Linked DNA regions of Saccharomyces cerevisiae S288C. The gene in region 2 interacts genetically with the main gene of each other region. Each region holds a gene or a part of one and is shown on either strand. Other genes may lie near its edges.

What was found.
Region 1: mutations in IMP21 (region 2) and LCB4 together harm fitness more than expected from each alone (negative genetic interaction), as found in Saccharomyces cerevisiae (2 studies listed by BioGRID).
Region 3: of IMP21 (region 2) and NRG1, a mutation in one rescues a mutant of the other (synthetic rescue), as found in Saccharomyces cerevisiae (one study listed by BioGRID).

Annotation. Positions count from the first base shown.
Region 1 is NC_001147.6:651,510-658,178, forward strand, and holds LCB4 (sphinganine kinase LCB4), read right to left. Parts: upstream 2,376-6,669; coding exon 501-2,375; downstream 1-500. Other genes in the region: GLN4 (glutamine--tRNA ligase), read left to right, coding at 1-223; YRM1 (Yrm1p), read left to right, coding at 2,701-5,061; DCS2 (5'-(N(7)-methyl 5'-triphosphoguanosine)-(mRNA) diphosphatase), read left to right, coding at 5,755-6,669.
Region 2 is NC_001141.2:53,481-61,898, forward strand, and holds IMP21 (Imp21p), read right to left. Parts: upstream 1,542-8,418; coding exon 501-1,541; downstream 1-500. Other genes in the region: GUT2 (glycerol-3-phosphate dehydrogenase), read right to left, coding at 1-228; peptidylprolyl isomerase RRD1, read left to right, coding at 1,718-2,899; VPR1 (Vpr1p), read left to right, coding at 3,065-3,772; ESL1 (Esl1p), read right to left, coding at 3,858-7,214; MCM10 (Mcm10p), read right to left, coding at 7,533-8,418. UniProt on the Saccharomyces cerevisiae protein: Controls the nucleo-mitochondrial dependence of galactose, maltose and raffinose utilization. Becomes essential in the absence of functioning mitochondria.
Region 3 is NC_001136.10:542,174-547,766, reverse strand, and holds NRG1 (transcriptional regulator NRG1), read left to right. Parts: upstream 1-4,397; coding exon 4,398-5,093; downstream 5,094-5,593. Other genes in the region: HEM13 (coproporphyrinogen oxidase), read right to left, coding at 139-1,125. UniProt on the Saccharomyces cerevisiae protein: Transcriptional repressor involved in regulation of glucose repression. Binds to UAS-1 in the STA1 promoter.

The DNA.
Region 1 (6,669 bases), on a different chromosome or scaffold from region 2:
ATCTGTCATGGAACATAACTTCGGGGACGTTGTCAAGAACAGTCCATGGGTCGTTGATTCTGTTAAAAACTCGGAATTTTATGTTGAAGAAGATAAGGATTCCAAAGAAGTGTGTAGATTCCAAGCTATGAGAGTAGGTTATTTCACTCTGGATAAAGAGAGTACGACTTCTAAGGTTATTTTGAATAGAATAGTTAGCTTGAAGGACGCAACTTCCAAGTGAATGATTTAATGTGCATATATGTATATATTTATATATATATCCTATTGGTTGAAAATGATGTAATAGTGTAAATTTTTTAATTATATTAGATAATAAAGACCAACTCATAATATTGTTACGTATTAATGATATATAACTGGGGATGTATAATTATAATGAAAACAAAAATGGAATATAAACCATACTCCGATGATAGAAACATTATATCGCCTTTTCTTTTCGATGTAGTATTTCTTTTTACAAAAAAATCATTTTTGAAGGAAAATATAACGTTAATCTACATGGATTCAAACTCTGTATCGATATATCTACCATTCCTTAGCAACGTCTTGCATAACATGGGCATTATTTCCACTTGCAAGGGTTCCAAAGGAAACTTTTCACCATCCACTGAAAATAAACCTGACTCCACTTTTGGTATAATCTTATAAGCCAATATTTTTGAGTGAATAACTTCTGGCTCTAATACATGAGAACCTTTATCCAAGGATAATAAAATTGGTGTCATTCTTGTCACTGGGATTCTTGCATCCGTTATGACTAAATCAATGGTACCATCCGCTGGTAAAGCAGCGGGAAAAAATTTGGTGTCCTTAGCAATATACGGCATTTTCCCTGTGTAAAAGATTGTTAAGTTATCAGTTAGCTCTGAATCCATTTTCTCCCAGTCTCTAGGTACTGGTTCCGTCATCGGATACTTTAATTTAAAGTTGTCCTCGTTGAGAAAATTCGGTGAAAGTTCATCTTTTGTACTGTTGTTGATATTGTTTTTAGATAGTAAATCCGGCGAAGAGTTTGGGCTAGGATTTGGTTCGAAGGTTAAACATCCTTTGTTTTTATCTTTATTTTCTAAGAAATGAACTTTTAATTCCTTTTTAGATTTGGCAGCATATTTGACGAAAACTTCGCAGGGATATTTCTTACCTTGGATAATGTTGAATGCTACACCCAAATTAAACCTAACGGGACCCATCCATCTGATGAATTCAGTGTTAATATCAGATTCTGCAATAACGCCGTACGTCTGACTCAAAAAGGATAATCTTGGCCATTCGTTCATATAAGAAGGTTGGGAACAACACATTAAGTCTATTCTTGTTTCAATGGATTTGACAAGGCACAGAGCGGCGTACGATGGGTTATTTGTCCAATGACATGAAATGCTCATAGCATTTCCTGAACCGCAAGGTAGCTGAGTTACGGCTAGTTTATTGAACGCATCCACTCTGTCGGGTCTTCTATAAAGCCCATTAATTACTTCGTATGGAATACCATCACCCGAGGCACATGCAATGGTATCGTATTTGCTGATATCTAAATCTTTGGCAATATCGATGGCGTGACGGGCATATTTTGTGTATGCAATTTCTATTTTGCAGCCACTTTCCACTAGTATTGGCCTTGCTTTTGTCAGGAATAAATTTTTAGCAGTACCTTTACCACCGTGGGGATTAATAATGACTAATATCGATCTGTTTCTCTTGGAATTTTCATAACTTTTTTCCAGGATTTCTTCCACAGTACCAGAAGAAATGTTCTCCTCTCCGGTATTTGCTCTCGATTTCCTAGAAACGTGATCTATTAACAAGGTTAATTTTTGTGGTATAACATCATGGCCCTTGGGTACAGCAAAAGTTAACTCAATTAACTGTTGATTATCTTTTATCCCTAAAGATGGTGAGTTATCCTGTGAATCATCGGGAGACACCTTCACAGTGTTCGTTTTTGTATCCCACTTGTCTTTTTTGGGAAATGACTGTGATTCGCTTACAGGAGCCTTATCATTGCTCAAACTATGATTCTCAACGTCGTCATTTTCAGACGAAGAACTCAGATTTTCCGTTTGAAAAGGATTCGAAGAAATTTTGCCATTATTGAAGCCTTTCTGACCGACATTCACATATTTTGCGTTCAAAATTCTGTTGAACGGAATGGTAGTATTAAGAGGCAACAGTTCCAGGGAATCATCCTCATCAAAAGAACCTCCATCAGAGCTCAAAGTTCCATCATCCAGACAGGACAAGCAGCTCAACAAGGATAAAGAATCTCCGCTTCTGAGTTGACCATGCTTATTGAACATATGGTGTGATTGCGATTTGATCAATACACCTTCATCGGTCAAGATAGCCCTAAGTTTTTTCTGCACCACCATTATCTATAGTAGATTCTTCGCGTACTTTTCGCTGCTAGACTTTTGTGTTCTTGATAACCTCCAGGATCAGTACGTTAGACAAGGGAAAGTATCAGATGGGTTAAACACGAATTTTCACCTTCTTGTATGCCTTTCTTCCGTTAAATCATCTTTTTGCTTCAAGACCCTTGCAGCACGTTTTTTTCAGGCTCGGCAGTAGGGTGACACCCATGGTTTACAAGGCGATAAAATGACAAATGCCAGGTGGTATTGTAATAATAACGGCAAGAGTATAGAAAGTCAGAGGGGAAAGCACATTGAATGGTCCTGGTAAAGGGAGTTGTTAATGAGTAAGCGGGGTAGTTTACAGGATAGAGCTTCCCCATCGGAGGAAACTGTAAAGAAGGCGCAGAAGAGACGGAAACCAATAAAGTCATGCGCTTTTTGTAGGAAAAGGAAATTACGTTGCGACCAGCAGAAGCCAATGTGCTCAACTTGTAAGACGAGGGGTCGTTCTGGTTGCCTGTATACAGAGAAATTCACCCACAAAATAGAAACAAAAGAGTTATTTGGCAGTACTCCGAACATTGAACTGTTGAAAAGGATTGAGGATTTAGAGAAAAGACTAGATGACAAAGAGTTGACGGAGAAGGATGTAGCGCTTAGTACGAGCCCATTTAGGAACCCTTACGCTAATTTTTACTATTTACAATGTAAAGGCTCGGGAAGAAGAATAGTATATGGTCCTACATCTTTGAGAACGCATCTCTCAAACGATGATAATCGGTTTGTAAACACGTATAATCAGCTCTGGTCCAAAGTGAAAATCGAGAGAAACAGATGGAAGGCTAGGCATAAATGGACAATGAAGCCAGAAACTCAACTCCTAGAGGGACCGCCGTTAGAAAAGACAGGCTCTGACATCTTGCAACAGGTTTGTAACGTTTTGCCATCTTTTGAACAATCGTCAAAGATTATAACAGACTTTTTCAATACTGAACTGGAAACTAATGAAGTTAGTGAAGTATTAGATAAAACCAAAATAATAAACGATTTCACTTCCTCGTTTCTTCCAAGTGACGAACTGTTACCCAACGGTGAAAGGCGGATTGAAAAGTTATTACCATCGACAAAGAAAAACTATTATAAGATTGGAGTTATTTTGATGATACTGTGTATTCGCCATTTCTACAAAAATACTCCGGAAGAGATAGAGAAATTTCTCATCATGCTGACGGGACTGTCAACAGCTAAAGTATATTTCATTGAACGCGCTCAATTTCTCTTATTGAAATACTATCATCGAGAACTAATTTGGGCGTGTGGAGACGATTCGCATATGATTAGTCTAGTTGACTTATTATGCAGCACGGCAATTATGCTGGGTTTACACTTGAATATAAGAGAAATATACAAAAATCAAGAAAATATTGTGGGGAGTATGGAAAGTTTGGAAAATTTGTGGGTTTGGATTATATTATCAGATTTCAATGTTTCTTTAAATATTGGGAGATGTTTGGCGATTAACTCATCCTATTTTCAAGTCGATGAATGCGAGAATGGTGAGAGGTTGCCTAAAAATACAAACAATTATTCATCGACGGTTTTTTTCGATCAGTCAAATTCCTGCATGGGCAAGCTTAAAAGGTTTTTAAGATTAGCTCGACCAATGCTAGATCAAATTTATGATAGAAGCGCATTTCCAGACTTAGCCGAAAATTGTAAAAAACTAAGAAACTTTGTAGAGACTGAATTCCACCCAATATCATATTACACTGACAGTGAGTTAATATCTAAAGTTCCTTTGTGCGAGATTAAAGTGCTTGCGCAGGTTTTGAATTTGTTGTTGACGTTTTATTCCTTGAGGTATTTGATTTACAAGGAAAAAAGCGTTGTTTTAGAGAACAACATCCTGCAAACCATTTTGGTCTCTTTTTCCCTTGTCATCAATACGACCATACTGTGTTTTAACCTAGATGAGAAGCATTTTCCTGAGTTTTTTGATCATAATTGCGTTCATTTACCGCCATTTATGGCCTTGTCTTTAGTATACACAAATTTCCTTTTTCCTAGGGCCTCTACTGGCTTTTGTGCGTTTTTGTATCATAAGTTAACTCTTTTTGAGAAGGGCTATTATCTATCATCCAACATCAAAGATCAAGAAGTCACAGATTGGGATTTGTCAACCTTGAATATCCCGTTGGATAAAGCTATGAACTTACTTACTGCTTTCAAAATACATTCAGATATATTTGCTAAATGGTCTAATGATAACAACAAGCAGTTAAGAATTATTATGGCTCGCTCTTATACATTTGTTATCAACATCGCCCTGGAAAGCATATATAGAGCTGTTTTGGAAAAAGTAATCAAATATAGAACCGAGGTCGAAAACACATGGTTACAACAACTCCAAGACGAATTGAATGGGTCCTATTCGCTCACTGACAATGTAAATACTCCAATCGATCCCAGTTTAAGTGACCTGGGCGTCACAAGCGCCAGTCCATTGGCGGGAAATTCTCCAGGATTACCCCCGGAGGAAGTGCGAAATAACAGCGAAAACGCTTCGCATAACAATGAAACTGGGCCAATTGAGACTGAACTGGCACAGACAATATCCAACGAATTTTGGACGGCGTACAACCTTGGCTGGGAGGAACTAATGAGTCAGCCAGATTATAAATATTTATTTGATACGCAGTAGAGGAGAAGTTCTTTTACAAAAAAACATGCTTGCGACAGCAGCTAGATAGAAAACTTGCATATTGTAATGGAAGACAGTCGAGAGCAAGCCATTGGCTTGGACTTGCGCTTGGACCTATCTTTCGGACCAACTATTTAATGATTAGTAAGACAAAAATGACATTTAAGCATCTATAAAATAAGAAAAATAAAAAAATGAAGGGAAAAAGCTAAACACTAACTTCTTGACCAAACAAACAAGGAAAAGCCAGTAATTGCGTGAACAAAAGGCACCTGCAATTGTTCTGATGGATGTACTTTGTCCAACCTATTCTGCAAGAAAAAGAAATCAACTCCAAAGAAGTATGGAGCTTACTGGCACTCTAGCCTCCAAAAGCTGTTAAAGTGTTCATTCGATTGTCAAAAATCTTCCCCATAATAATCACCCACCTCAACAAAATACTTCCACTTAATTATTGATCGATTAGAGCTAGCGTCAGTGATTATATGCTAGTCCGAAAGGACAGCCCCATGACAGCGGCCGCGCAGACGCCTAGGGGGGAAATAAGGGGTGACAATACCAATGAGTATAAAGGCAGAAAGAAGAGAAACAGAAGCACGGGGGTTTCGTTTGGTCTTCAAATATATGTTAGGTCGGTACCTTTTCATTGCAAAATTGAAAAGATTTGAGCGTGTAAAAGTAAAAAAATACATGATGGGTTCCCAAGATTTAGCTAGTTTAATTGGGAGGTTTAAATACGTCAGGGTGTTAGATTCGAACCCTCATACAAAGGTAATCTCACTACTAGGCAGCATAGATGGGAAGGATGCCGTGTTAACTGCTGAAAAGACGCATTTCATATTTGATGAAACGGTACGTAGACCCTCTCAAAGTGGCCGTAGCACTCCGATTTTCTTTCATCGTGAAATAGACGAGTACTCCTTTTTAAACGGTATTACTGATCTGAAGGAATTAACTTCGAATGACATCTACTACTGGGGGTTGTCTGTTTTGAAGCAGCATATTTTGCATAACCCAACTGCGAAGGTTAACTTAATTTGGCCCGCCTCGCAGTTCCACATCAAGGGATACGACCAGCAGGATTTACATGTCGTCAGAGAAACTCCTGATATGTATAGAAACATAGTTGTGCCCTTTATCCAAGAGATGTGTACCAGCGAAAGAATGAAATGGGTAAACAACATTCTTTACGAGGGCGCCGAGGATGATAGAGTTGTTTATAAGGAATACAGTAGCAGGAATAAAGAGGATGGATTCGTCATCTTGCCCGATATGAAGTGGGACGGAATCAACATTGATTCGTTATACCTGGTCGCGATCGTGTACAGGGACGACATCAAATCTTTGAGAGATTTGAACCCAAACCATAGAGATTGGTTAATTAGACTCAATAAGAAGATTAAGACCATCATCCCCCAGCACTATGACTATAATGTAAACCCGGACGAGCTAAGAGTTTTCATTCATTATCAACCTTCATATTACCATTTTCATGTCCATATAGTGAATATAAGGCATCCAGGAGTAGGCGAGGAGAGAGGCTCCGGAATGACAATACTGTTGGAAGATGTTATAGAAGCGTTGGGTTTCTTAGGTCCTGAAGGTTAT
Region 2 (8,418 bases):
CCCGCCACCGATGATCAACACGTCGAATTGATGCGTCTTGGCCAGACGGTCCAGCAGGTCTCGTCTAGAGACCTGCGGTGGAGCGGCGGTGGGGAATTGCACCATGTAGCTCGGGTCATTGTGCACTAACGGCCTATCACCTTGGCTAGTCATCCAGTACAGCGTCCCCGTGGCTGTGGCCATGGCAGCAGCTGCACCGGCAGCTCTTCTTCTCGTTACCGAAAACATATATTAGTACGTATTTAGTCTTGTAGCAGTGATGGCAATAGCACGGTCAAGATAAGGGAGGGAGAGTCCTTGCTTTAGACCAAAGTTCCCTATTTGTGGCTGTTCTCTTTTAAGTTTAAATACGATTTTTAGCGTGCGGGGTTGTGAAATTTCCCCTGCCAAAACTGAAATAAAGTTGGGTGGATAACGTATCGGAGCAGAGAAAAGACATAAGGTCTGTTGCTGTATATAAGTATGTGTTGCTAAAAAGGAATTAGTGCAGTGATTATTGGTCACTCGCTGATGCCCTTGCGCTTGGCACGTTTCAGCTTCTTTCTAACCGCGAGGATGGGCACAGAGCAGACGAAGTTCTGCAGAGTGGACAGGATGACCGAGAGGGAGCAGCACAGGGCGACTGGCTTGAGGCCGTGGATCATCTCGTTGAGGAGGTGTTTTGGGTACGGATGGGTCAAGGAGAGGACGACGACGTCGAGGTCGTCGAGCACGCCCGCGACGCAGTCAAACAGGTGCATGACGTGCTTTCTGATTCTGGCAACGTTGGCGAACATCTGGGAGTCGTCCGTGGGCTTCGAGGGCTCCCAGTGGACAATGTAGACGGTGTCTCCCTGGTTGACAGCTGCGCCCATGAGATAGGTCAGGGCGTAGGTGGACTCGCTGCTCAGGTCCGTGTAGAGGATGAAGGACCTTTGGTTCCCGGCCTCTGCGCCGGCACCCTTGGTGAGTAGTTGCATGGCTCTGACGTAGCCTCCGTCGAGTTGCTCCAGAGACACGTCTTCGTTTTCGTGGCCACGGATGCTGATCTCGTACTTGGCTATCCAGGGCTTGCTGGAGTCTAGCACTTCGTTTATGCTGGTACAAAAGTTGGGTAACACTTTCATGCCCAGATCGTAGTGGAACTCCTCGTCAATCTCTAAATCGTTCTCTATATCGCTCACTTGCTCTTCATCGGACTCTTCCTCGTCCATATCGTCGCCGTCGCCGTCGTCGTCATCTTCGTCGTTGCCCTCACCTTCCTCTTCAGAATCCACATCCACGACCCTCAACCGCATCGAGGGGTCCTGCCTCAACACGGTCCACTTGAGGAACTCTTCCTCCCTTACTCTGCTGCGGCTACTGGCCCTGCTTCTCGACCGCGACAGACTGCTCACGTTTGAGTCTCGTTCGCCTCTTTTCTTCTTGCTACGACCTCTTTCCCTGTGGCCCCTTTCCATCTGCTCCGAGTCGAACTCCACCGTGGTGGGCGTTTCCGTTTTGATGCTGTGTAGATTCGATTGTGTTCCGTCAGGTTTAGTCAGCAATATGCTCTTCTGCATTGCGTACTTGGTTGTTTCTCTTGTTGGTTCTTTTGGTACTCACCCTTTCCATAGTCTCTTGTGTTTGATCAAGCCTTTTTTCCGGACCTTTAAAGCTTTCTTAAAAAGATAAAATAGGAAGAAAGTGCAAAGTGCAAAAGAACGCACATATGAACAAGCATTAAACGAGCAAAGAAATGTCTCTGGATCGTGTAGATTGGCCGCACGCCACCTTCTCTACGCCGGTGAAGCGTATCTTCGATACGCAGACAACGCTGGACTTCCAATCGTCACTAGCCATTCACAGAATCAAGTATCATCTTCACAAGTACACTACGTTGATATCGCACTGTTCTGACCCCGACCCGCACGCTACTGCGTCGTCGATCGCCATGGTTAACGGGCTGATGGGAGTGTTGGACAAGCTGGCACACCTGATCGACGAGACACCGCCTCTTCCAGGTCCTAGAAGGTATGGTAACCTAGCATGCCGCGAGTGGCATCACAAGCTGGATGAACGTTTGCCTCAGTGGCTGCAGGAAATGCTTCCCTCGGAATACCATGAGGTGGTGCCTGAATTGCAGTATTACCTGGGCAACAGCTTTGGTTCGTCGACAAGATTGGACTACGGCACGGGCCACGAACTTTCGTTCATGGCCACGGTCGCAGCACTGGACATGCTGGGGATGTTTCCGCACATGAGGGGGGCAGACGTTTTTCTGCTGTTCAACAAGTACTACACGATCATGAGGAGGCTGATCCTGACGTATACGCTGGAGCCCGCTGGGTCACATGGCGTGTGGGGGCTTGATGACCATTTCCACTTGGTGTACATCTTGGGCTCGTCTCAATGGCAGCTGCTTGATGCGCAAGCACCCTTGCAACCAAGAGAAATACTGGATAAGTCTCTGGTGCGCGAGTATAAGGACACCAACTTCTACTGCCAAGGCATAAACTTTATTAATGAGGTGAAAATGGGGCCCTTTGAAGAGCATTCCCCCATCCTATACGATATTGCCGTCACCGTTCCACGCTGGTCCAAAGTGTGTAAGGGGCTTCTAAAAATGTATTCTGTAGAGGTTCTGAAGAAGTTCCCCGTGGTGCAACATTTCTGGTTCGGCACAGGCTTCTTTCCCTGGGTCAACATTCAAAACGGCACTGATCTTCCAGTCTTTGAAGAAAAGGAGGAAGAGAGTATAGAACAGGCTAACGCAGGATCGCCCGGTCGAGAACAGACTTCAACACGATTCCCAACGTCCACGTCAATGCCTCCCCCAGGCGTTCCGCCGTCAGGTAACAATATCAACTATTTACTAAGCCATCAAAACCAGTCGCACCGGAACCAGACTTCTTTTTCAAGAGATAGACTACGTAGATAATATTAATTAAACATATAAATGTGTATGACAAGCATTATGACTTCTATTTTCGTTCTTTTTTACTTGCGTCTACAATATATAAGCATATAATCAGATGAAAAAAGGAAAAGGAAGCGGTAATACAAATAAACAAAGAAGTGGAAAAAGTCGCCACAGTGTAAGCAAATGAGTCACAAGAGAAGGGGCCTGGTAATATATCAGGATCAGAAGCAGCAACAACAACACCCCCCGGGGCAGTCCCTAAGCTCTATATCCTGGTCTCCAACCAGGCGACCTCATCACCCTTTAAAACAACAAAGCACCAACAGTTTCTCAGAAATACTATCGAAATCAAGTGTGCAACCGAACGTGCAACATGACGGTAATCATATGCCCATTTCATTGCTAGTTCTGAAACAAGAACATCATAAGCAGCAGCAGCAGCAGCAGCAGCGCCAGAATATCCGATCACAAAACTCTACGCCTCCCCTGCGACAGTTGGTTCAGGAGTCGCAGTGGACGAGCTCCGCAAGTAATAGTTCTCTAAAGAAACAGGAAAAGCAGCCGCAAACATTCTACAACACTGACTCTAAACTTGTTTCTCAACTGCATAGCTCCGTGAAGGACCTGGATGCCATAATCCAGACGCATAAACCAAAGTTTGACACAATTATTCGCGATTTCTCTCAAGCAACCATACTGTCCTCAAACGAGTTACTCATCAAACTTCCGAAGGACCAAACAATAATATTGCATAGCAGAGCGCCAAAAATTAACGCAGAATGGCTACAGAACAAGGTTAATGACCCTAGTGCCTCGTTAGTGATCGATTCAAGATCTTTTCTAACCTTGTGTAACAATATAAAATGGTACCTGCATTGGAAATTTATATGAAAAGTAATTGTAGAATGGAGTGTTCAAAAAAAAAAAAAAAATGCACAGAAATATATATGTGATCATATATATGTATATATACATATTAGTTGGTACATAATCCACTATTAATACCAAGCTTGCTACCTAACGAAAATAAATACTTTGTATTGCACGTTTTTATCATTCTGTCCTTCGCTTTTTGGTTCATATTATCATCATCCGTTACCAGCACTGCAAACTCCTTGCCTTTGTTCTTGTTTTCATCAGTCAATCTTTCAGCTTGAAACCTTTGGTTCAGTTTGGCGATAGCATCAATAACAAATTCATCGACGTGCGTCTTCCAAGTAATTTGCTCTTCGAACTCCAGATTTTCTTCAACATGTGTTGCAATATTCCCCGTGAATCTCATAGGAATAATTTTCTTTTCATCGTACAACTGGCGAATAGTAATTACCGACCTTGTTGCTGCTTCGACGACAGTATCGTCTTTCGATCCTCTTAGATAACGTAGTTCTTGAAATGTGGTCAGACAAATCGCAAATTTAAGAGTATTGTTTTTGGCTAGTTTGAAAATATGTGCAAAGTGTCTTAACCATGAGGTAGCATCGATGACAAAATAAAGCGTACAATTGTAGTTTTCGTCACTGCCTTTAGATGCGGCGGCAATTTTATCGAAGAATATTTTCTCCCAATGCAGGCTCAAGTTGTTGTTGGCAACATCGTATATAGATTCGCCGCTTACATCCAGTGTTACACCATTACCAACATTGGACCATTGGCTGTAGATAAATGCACTGTTGAACCCGCCGTTTTTATCAAAACAATGATAATCTGGTGCCAATCTCGTATAACCAGTATATTCGAAAATACTTTCACCAGAAACGACGCTCAAATTCGGTGTGGCTTGTGGGTCCATGTTAACAGCCTCGATTTCTTCATTTATTTCAATTGTGTCATATAGATCATCTAATTCGTTGTTGTCGTTATAATTATCTTCGTCATATGCATCTAGCTTAAAGGTCAAATTCTTTAGGAAATAATCTGGAGGTATGTCATTTCGACGACAAAACACAGAAGCTTGAAAGCTTACTTTCAACCCCAAATCGGGAAATTTCTTGGCAATACCTTTCAAAAGTAAAACTGCTCTCACACTGCGCATCCAGAATTTTTCACCAACTTCATCTTTTTCATCAAAGACTATACCATCAAGGGGAGAATCGAAAAAAAGATGGTCTTGAACGCCAGGAATTTCCATTACATCGCACTTCTTGATAGCGTCAAACCACAATGTTCCCCAACATTTCCAAATCTCCGGAAGATTTTCATTTTCGTTATAATATTCGATCAAATCATCCAGTTCCAATGAATAAAACTTTTCCAATTCTTTTTTCAAAAAAGGGTGTAAATTATCCAGCATGTAACAAACTAATACATTACCTAAGGTCACTATTGAATTCCAAGGCATTGTCCTTCTTAAAAAATGTATCCAGAATGCTACTACTTGCTTTGAATTTACCATTTCTAATTTTTTCAAAATAGCAACTATAAAATGTAACCACGTCAAAAAGTGCGGTAAGGCAACCACTAATGGTGCATGAAGAAATTTTGTTAATACATGTATACTGCATTGTATTGACGTCATGTTGATATGATTCAAAGAATCCAGCCAAATATTGAGATTGGTTGGGATATCATTGAAACTTGAATTTAAAGCATCGATATTCTGGAAGTAGCTTTCTGAACTTATTTGAACATCGAATGGATCTGTATAGGAAGATGTTTCTGTTGCTTCGGATCTCTTTTTTTCTCTTTTATCCTTCTTTAATTTCAAATACTTAGGCAACTGAAACAATAATGCAAATGGGTTTTTAGGATTGCCAAATCCGATTAGCTGTAAAAGCTGAGATTCAGCAAATGCAGGGGCATGCCTAAAATAATAACGCAATGATTCTGGATTTTGGCAAAACATGTCTTTTGTATCGAAAACGTCATTTCCGTTAAAATCTTTACCAAACTTGTCTTTGAAGTACATAAGCACAACATGCTGTAAATCCATATTCTCCAGGAAACTAGGTAATAGCATTACTTCAGTATGCTTTAAATAATCAATTAATTGAGAATTTCTATGGGCAATTTCATTATTGTTCGCACTACCAGAACTTCTATCTATGAATGCAGATTGATAGATATTTTCAATCAATAACTGTAACGTTTGCTGAGACGGAGTGAAGGGATCCTGACAAAAAACACTTTTTCCCAAGTTTACGAACGCTTCTAAACTGTTCTGTTGAACTGTGGCAATATGATAATATAGTTTTCCGCACCCATATATGTATTTCATTGATTCGGTATACCAATATTCGGCGCTTAGCCTCCAATCTATGAATCCTGATGGGTACAGCGATATTGCCATTCTAGACAAATCACCCAATCTTTGTCTCCACAAAATAGAATATTTCAACGGTATATCCTCAAGCATATTTGAGACAGAGATGAAAGCGTATATAATAAACTGACAACATACCTCTGGGTCCATAAAGTTCGAAAAGTTCTTTAGTACATCCAAGAAGGTTATTATACCATAAACCCACAATCTTTTTTCTATTCTGTAAATATCCAAAATTTCTTGGCCCATAATCAAGTCGTTTATAGGTTGTGTAGTTAATAATGCAGTGATGATGAAATTGATGTAATTTTTGATCAGTTCTGTGTTCAGTCTGTATATTGCCCACAAACTTTTTAGTTCTGTGGTTTGAGAGGTGGTTAAATAAAGGCATCTTTGTTGTAACTCGGTTTCCTGCACCACTATGATTTTATAAATTTCCTGCAGTTTTTTAATAAACGTCTGATTTGGCTGCGCCGAAGGAAGTTGCCTTATCATCGGCGGGGGTGAAGCAGCAACTACAGGAGCTCTTCTAATATCGGATAAAGTTACTTGGCTTTGGGGTTGCGAATTGCTATAAATACCATTTGAAGCGACTAATGGCTCGTCAGCTCTCATTTGTGGATTTGCGTTATCTTCATAAGTGTCTCTAGAAACAACCTTCATATTTCGAGCAAGCATAGTTCTATTCACATAATATGGAGATTTAGGAACATCCATTGTTGGAATAGAACTGGTCTTAACTTGTGGTGTCGATTCCATAACTTTGCGAGAGATGCTCGGTCTTCTAGATGCATCATCAGTTTTGGAGGGTGTGTTTTGTGCAGAGATCTGGCTATTAGTTATTCCATCTATAAATCCTTTCCCTACGGGATCTACAATTCCAGGCACCCTTCTTTTAGCGAACGACGACTCTGGTGTATCATTGTGCGACGAAGAACTATGTCGCTTTTGATGAAGAAATGCGGCGGAGGTCGGGCGCATATCGCTCACAATATGAGTGTGGTTGTTGTTGGATCTAGAATAATCAGTTTCATTACTAGGGTCATCATTCGCCGGCACCATTAGGTCAACCATATTATGCGATATCCGTGGTCTTGTTGTTATGTATTGAACCTAAAAATAACGTTAGATGCTGCCAAAGATCGGCCAAAAACGACTGTAAAGTGAAGTAAAGAGTACAGAATGAAGGATGCGCCCAAGAGGGAGATGTTTTCGGAGCGTTTTGTGTCTCACAAGATGTTCTCTTCTGTTCTTTCTCACTTTAAGGATTGATTCCCTATATTGCAACCAAAATCACTCAATTTTTCATCATAATTTTTCAATCATTACCCGCGCCATTGTCCATCAAAAGTAATACCATTTTGGGGCCCTGAAAAGCACACCAATACTTATTTATATTATCTCAAGATCGCTGGCACTACCGTCAGAAGTTTCTTTAGTTTCCTTGGATCCGAAATGTTTTTGCCAAACTTCTTCGCGATGGCTTCTTTTCTTGAACCATTCGTTCTTTGAAGGTGCGAGAATGACTTTTTCCTTCTTGTAATGCAAGAGATCGTTTATAACAGTTTTTTTTTTACCGAGTAAGTTGTTCTTAGGTTCGCTCCCTGATACAGAAGACTTGAGTACTTGGGAAATTTTTCCATGAGTGGGATCGAATCCTAGGCGTTGGATAAGCCCTGTCTGGAGGGCACTTTCTGTGGTTCGTTTCATTTTCTGTCGCTCTCCGACGCTCTTATCTTCTAATCCGCTGGATTCCCTCCTTCTCATAATTTTGCCTAGTTCGCGGCTCAGTGCTGTCGATTTCTTAGTTTCTATTATTTTCCTTCTTTTATTGTCTAAGTTTGCCAGCATATCTGGATTCTGAAATTTCTCGTCGAAAAATGCTTTGGCAGAATTACTATTCGTAAAATTGTGAGAGCTCTTTTTAAGTCTTTCCTCCTCTTCTGACAGGCGCTTACGAGTACCTTTGATTATATTAAACCCGTTTTCCCCTTTGGCCTTATATAGGCTTGGTTGAGAGTCCACTTTCGTAGGCGCGCCCAAGGCGTACCCACCATTTAATTCAATTCTTTTAGCACTTGTTCCACGAAATTGCACTTCTCTATGGTAATCGCAACACTTATGAAGAGATATGTTAATGGGAGAGCCACATTTTTTGTGAGTCTTTTTATTCACTATGGGACACCAACCTAAATCTCTACTTGAACCTATCTCCAGGATACATTTGAAGTCATGACTAATTCGAAGGTTGAAGGATTTGATAAAATTTCCTCGCCCT
Region 3 (5,593 bases), on a different chromosome or scaffold from region 2:
TCCTGTATCAATTGAATTTGAAGAATTATGTAAAGGAGGTATAATAAATAGATAAAAAAATGTATAAATAAGTGGTCGAAATAATTAAATCATCATTGTCATTGAGATCATAAAATCGGTCTGCTAAAGAACCTTGAATTATTTAACCCACTCTCTTGGTTTGGTGGTAACTTCTAGTAATTTAGCTTCTCTGGAACCAGGAGCAGGGTGGTGGTTGTATAACCATGAAGCATGTTCAGGCAAACTCATCAAAATTGACTCAACTCTAGAGCCTGGGGTTCTCAAACCGAATTGGGTACCTCTATCGTAGATTAAGTTGAATTCAACGTATCTACCACGTCTAATGGCCTGCCATTGTTGTTCTTCCTTTGTATATGGCATATCTTTTCTTCTCTTGACGATAGTCAAGTAGGATGGCAAGAAAGCATCGAAACAGTCTTCAACCATCTTCAATATTTCTTGTGGGTCACGTTCATCATAATCGTCAAAGAATATACCACCAATACCACGTGTTTCCTTACGGTGGGTAATGTAGAAGTACTCATCACACCATTTCTTGAAACGTGGGTACAAAGCAGTGTCGTGCTTGTCCAAGGCATCCTTGTGCAGTTGGTGGAATAATTGACCGTCTTCTTCGTATAAGTAAGAAGGTGTCAAATCAGCACCACCACCAAACCACCAAGTTTGTGGGGTCCCATCTTGGTTCCAAGTTTCGAAGTAACGGTAGTTTAAGTGCGTGGTTGGAGCGTGTGGGTTAACGGGATGAATGACCATACTTAAACCACAAGCGAAGAACTTGACACCGTCGGTAACTGGCAAACCAGTCTTTGGATCTTCTGGTAGACGCAGATTCTTATGATCAGCTTTCATGGCTGAAACGGCCGCTGGGCTCAATTGACCATAAACAACGGAGACATTAACACCACCTTTTTCGAAAGTTGTACCGTCTTGGATAACCATAGAGGTACCACCACCACCATCGTTACCACGGGTCCAAGTATCAGCGTGGAACTTAACAGTATCGATGGATTCCAAACCTTGCGTGATTTCAGCTTGTTTGCGACGGATAAGAGCTTCCATTTGTTGTCTAATTGGAAGATTCCTTGGATCTTGAGGGGCAGGCATCTTTATGTGTATTTAATTGTGTTCGAAGAGTTCGGTTTGCTATGTTTGATTTGCGAAAAGAAAGCTTTTGATATGCTCAAAAAAAGAAAACCCGGAGAATAAAAGCTTAACAAAGAAAGACAATAGGTGGAAAAAAAAAGGAAAATCCGTGTCCTTATATAGCCTTTCGAAACGAGAACAATGGGCAAAGCAAGCTTTATCTTCGGATCGTCCGTCAGCGCTTTGGTTGCAGTCTTATGCTTTGTTCAAGCTGGAGCGTTATTGGTGGGAGAACCAGAAAAGGCGAAAGCGTAGCGTTCTTTGAAATTTGGCTTCTGTTCCTGCGACTCGTTTAAAAGTAGAAGGGCCCGCGGAGCCGCTGTGAAAGATTTCTTTTACTCTTTCAGCGCAGAAATCTCGCAGGAGCTCAGCAGAAAGTGCCTATGACGGTAATCCCAGGGGCTAATGGTGTGAAGGCACTTTCTAAACAATTGAAATTAAAATACCGTGCCTATAGTAACTTTTTTTTACGCTGTGAACCGTTCAACACACAGTAAAAACTCCGCAGGAAATGGTTTGAAGAATCTTAATCACGAATTAGGCGTATTGTTTTTCCCAACAGTGAACGAGAGGACAAACTCCAGAGGATTTGCGGGCTTGATGATAAAATGTATTGTTGAAAAGATCGCGAATGCAACAATTACGGTGGGGAGAAATATCAACAAAAGGGCAAGGCTATGCCTTCTGGAAAGTGGCAGACTTGCACTTTCCTCGAAAAGAAAAATGACCGCAAGATCCGGTTGTTCTCAACCTTCTACATTAAGACATACTTCTACGATTTTCGAATGCCGAAGCAACTATCGCTGAAATTTGTCATGTCAAAATTGCTACTGGGGGAGAAGAATATATATGGAAGTAATTATTATTTACGTTGCTGAAATGGCAGGTTAGACGCATGTTTTGCAAAATAAGTGGTTTTGAAAAGAATTGATACTAGGAATCGGTGCAATACCTTCTACCTTTCTTAATAGGTATTCTTGAATAATCTACCTCACTTTCTGTCCCAGATACGAGATGTCGAGCGCCTCGAAAATAGATATCGTTTATTACGTTAGATACGGAAAGGTCTACGTGTCATAATAAATTGCATCTGGATTGCGATTTTGGGTCATGCCTAACTGGGAAAATATTTACATCTCCATGTTCTCATTCTGCCTTTGCTTTCCTTCAAAACATGGTTTTCAATTCAACCTAGGGTCTACCGCGGAACCATATGTACGCCGTAAATGCGAGTGTTCTTGAAAGGTAGTAATGTGTTCCCTCTCAATATGTAAGTCCTTCAAGAGTATGCACTTGCAGTTGCACTGTTTCGGGTAATTATCCGTCATTAAGAAAAAGATGCTTCCACTTTCTCGTGTTTTTACGCACAATCGTGCCATTTAACCGGAAATAGACTCCATTGCATTGATTGCTCTCATAAAAATTATAGCCCGCGTTTGATACTTGTTTAAAATAGGTGTCGACAAAGTTAGTTTCTGTCTTCCATTTAGTTTTTACAATATGACACGTCAAATAAATCTTTTCGATTTAGTTAAAAGAGTTACCTGGCGATAGCCTTCTGGTAAAACACCTATTCATAAAACAATCTTAAAAAACCAAAAAATTACCAAACAACTATGTAGGACATATTTTTACAGTTCATAAAAACGCTTCGAGCTGCCGATATCGGTATCAAACACCAAAATATACATAGTGCTGGTTTAAGCCAGAATATCTTGGTGAAGCTGCGCCTATATGCCTTGTATTTAAAACAAGTCACGAAAAGCTATTGCCAAAGGAACATAAAAACTCGTATCTATGTTATATTATAAAAAAGATATAATATTTATATATTATTATTAATATTATTTTTTAGTTCCGAAAGGAGAAACTTATAATTTTTATATCATTATTTATTATTATTTTTAATTTCAACTCCTTTTATACCTATTACTGCATGTGGAGAAAAGATTAAACCAGGCGAGGCAATTTACACTTATTCATTGAGATAAGATGAAAGAGCCACGCCTCGTTACATTTAGGCTACATCATATAACAACTAGTCCCAGCCTCCCCCCTTCCCCACCTTGGAGTACTTTTCTCCAGAAATAGAAAGCTAAGAATCAAAATCGCACCATTACGTATGAGCTCATTTGCCGTCTTTTCCCCGACAATCCGGCACAAAATCTGGCTACCCGTCGTATGTATGGTAGACGATATTATGTACTCTAGTAATGCTATGTACGAATAGTTTCAGACGGGCACAGGGACCTAGAACGCCAAGCGCAAAAAAAAGCTGATAGGAATTCGACGTCACGAACCCTTGGAGTAAAAGAAAACTAAAATATACGAACTTCGCGGAAAATAAAAAACTTTTCCTTCAGTTGTTCCTCGTTCGAAACAGTAATCTACACGGACCGTTGCTTATTTTTAGCCAGATTCTAGTTAAATAAAAAAAAAAGAAATAAAATTAAAAAAAAATTAAACTGTGGCAGATAAGCCTTTCTAATCGAGGCAGTGTGTTTCTTTTGACTTCACCGTTTGTCTTCGCATAGTTCCCCTAAATATTCTAACTAGAAAAATCGCTAGTATTTTTCTACTTATAAGTTGATTTTCCGCATATTTGTCTTTGAAACGTTTGAGACAGGGAAAACTCTGTTTTCTAAAAGAGGAAAAAGCAAAATGAAGTATTGGCTTGGTTGCGGTCAACACCCTCAGGGAAAGCCAAGAAATGCTTTTTACTGTTTAGCAGTGAAAAGGCCGCACCGGAAAAGAAGGGAAAAATTCATTGGGTCTAGATTTTTCTTATCGGTAAAAGACTATGGCCTCTTGAGGACCCTTAAGCGTGAAACGAAACGCGTTGAGCGCGCAGAGGGGCTTCGCCGCCGGTCAGGGTGTTTGGGGTGTTTTTTCTTTTAATTATTCTCTTGGCAGTGTCATCTTTCTACAGTCTGGCTGCAGGCTCCTTTTCCGTTATTCATATATAAGGAAGAGAACTTTCCAAACCCAAATTAAAAAAAATTTGGTTCCCATCTCTTAACTAAAAGAAATTATATTACTCCACCTCGTTTACAGTTTTTTGATGCTATAAGGGAATTCTGCAGCTTTTGAAAGTAAAAATCATATCGTATACGATTCTGCAAAGTATTATTGTACTGTAATTCCTACCATTACGGCGCCTTTTTCTACCATTCACCTTTCTTGGATTGTTCCTCTCGACCAGCATATTACTACCCTTCGCAAACTTTCAGGCAATGTTTTACCCATATAACTATAGTAACCTCAATGTTTCTACTATGCCCGCACTGCCGGGAATCTCCGCATTTGATGGAATGCAAGATGAAGAAAACGTTGAAATAAGCCCGGAAAGAAAATATCAGACGCTACTACCAGTTCTAACTAATTCTCATGTGGTAGAGAATGAACTAAAACACAAATTAAATAAGACTGCTTTTGATTTCCGATACCAAACCAAATCAGAAAATGGCTCTGAAAAGTGGGAGCCAAAATACTTAATAACGCCTAATTTACAAACAAGAAGCGTCTCTTTTGACAATTCATCGGTACAATATAATTCAGATTCATCCGAAAAAAGCTCGCTATCACAACTAACTTGTAATTCATCAATAATACAACAGCCTGAGAACGGAATAGTTTCTAATGATGCATATAATAAGATGGCAAATAGTAGATACTCTCTGAAAACGCGGAAGCAAAGAACAGATCCAAGAAATACGTTATCAGATGAGGAAGACCTTGAACAAAGGCGCAAATACATTTGCAAAATTTGCGCAAGAGGATTCACTACATCGGGTCATTTAGCAAGGCATAATAGAATTCATACGGGCGAAAAAAATCATTGTTGTCCGTATAAGGGATGCACGCAGCGATTCAGTCGACATGATAATTGCTTGCAACACTATAGAACACATTTGAAAAAGGGACAATAATTGACGGTATACCCGTGTTTTTCTCATTAGCAGTACTACTATTCCGCACTTTACATCATTTTTTATAAACTCATGCATACATACATTGTACTTCAAAAGATTTTTTTTTTTTTTTGGCATCATAAATCACTTTCAGATCAGTTTCCTTTCAAACGCGCGGCATTAAGAAAACTTTTAATGTCAAAAAAACGGAAGCAAAAACCCCTCCCTTCCGCTTAAGATCATGTCTGGACATTTTAGTTGTAAGGCTGCGCCTCGGTAGCAAGTAGTGCTGCAACAAGGCTATTATGCCACCTAAACAGACCACTTTTGCTTAATACGAGACTGTGACTACCTCCTGACTTCCTGTCATAACAAAAAAACAGACGTCGCTGCATTAACATTTACAACCCCAAACCTTCTTCATTCATTGCTTTTCTTTTAGAAACTGTGGCTTTTTGACATTTGCAGTTTGCATAGTTACTTTTTGATCACTAACAACGATATATTATCGTTGAACA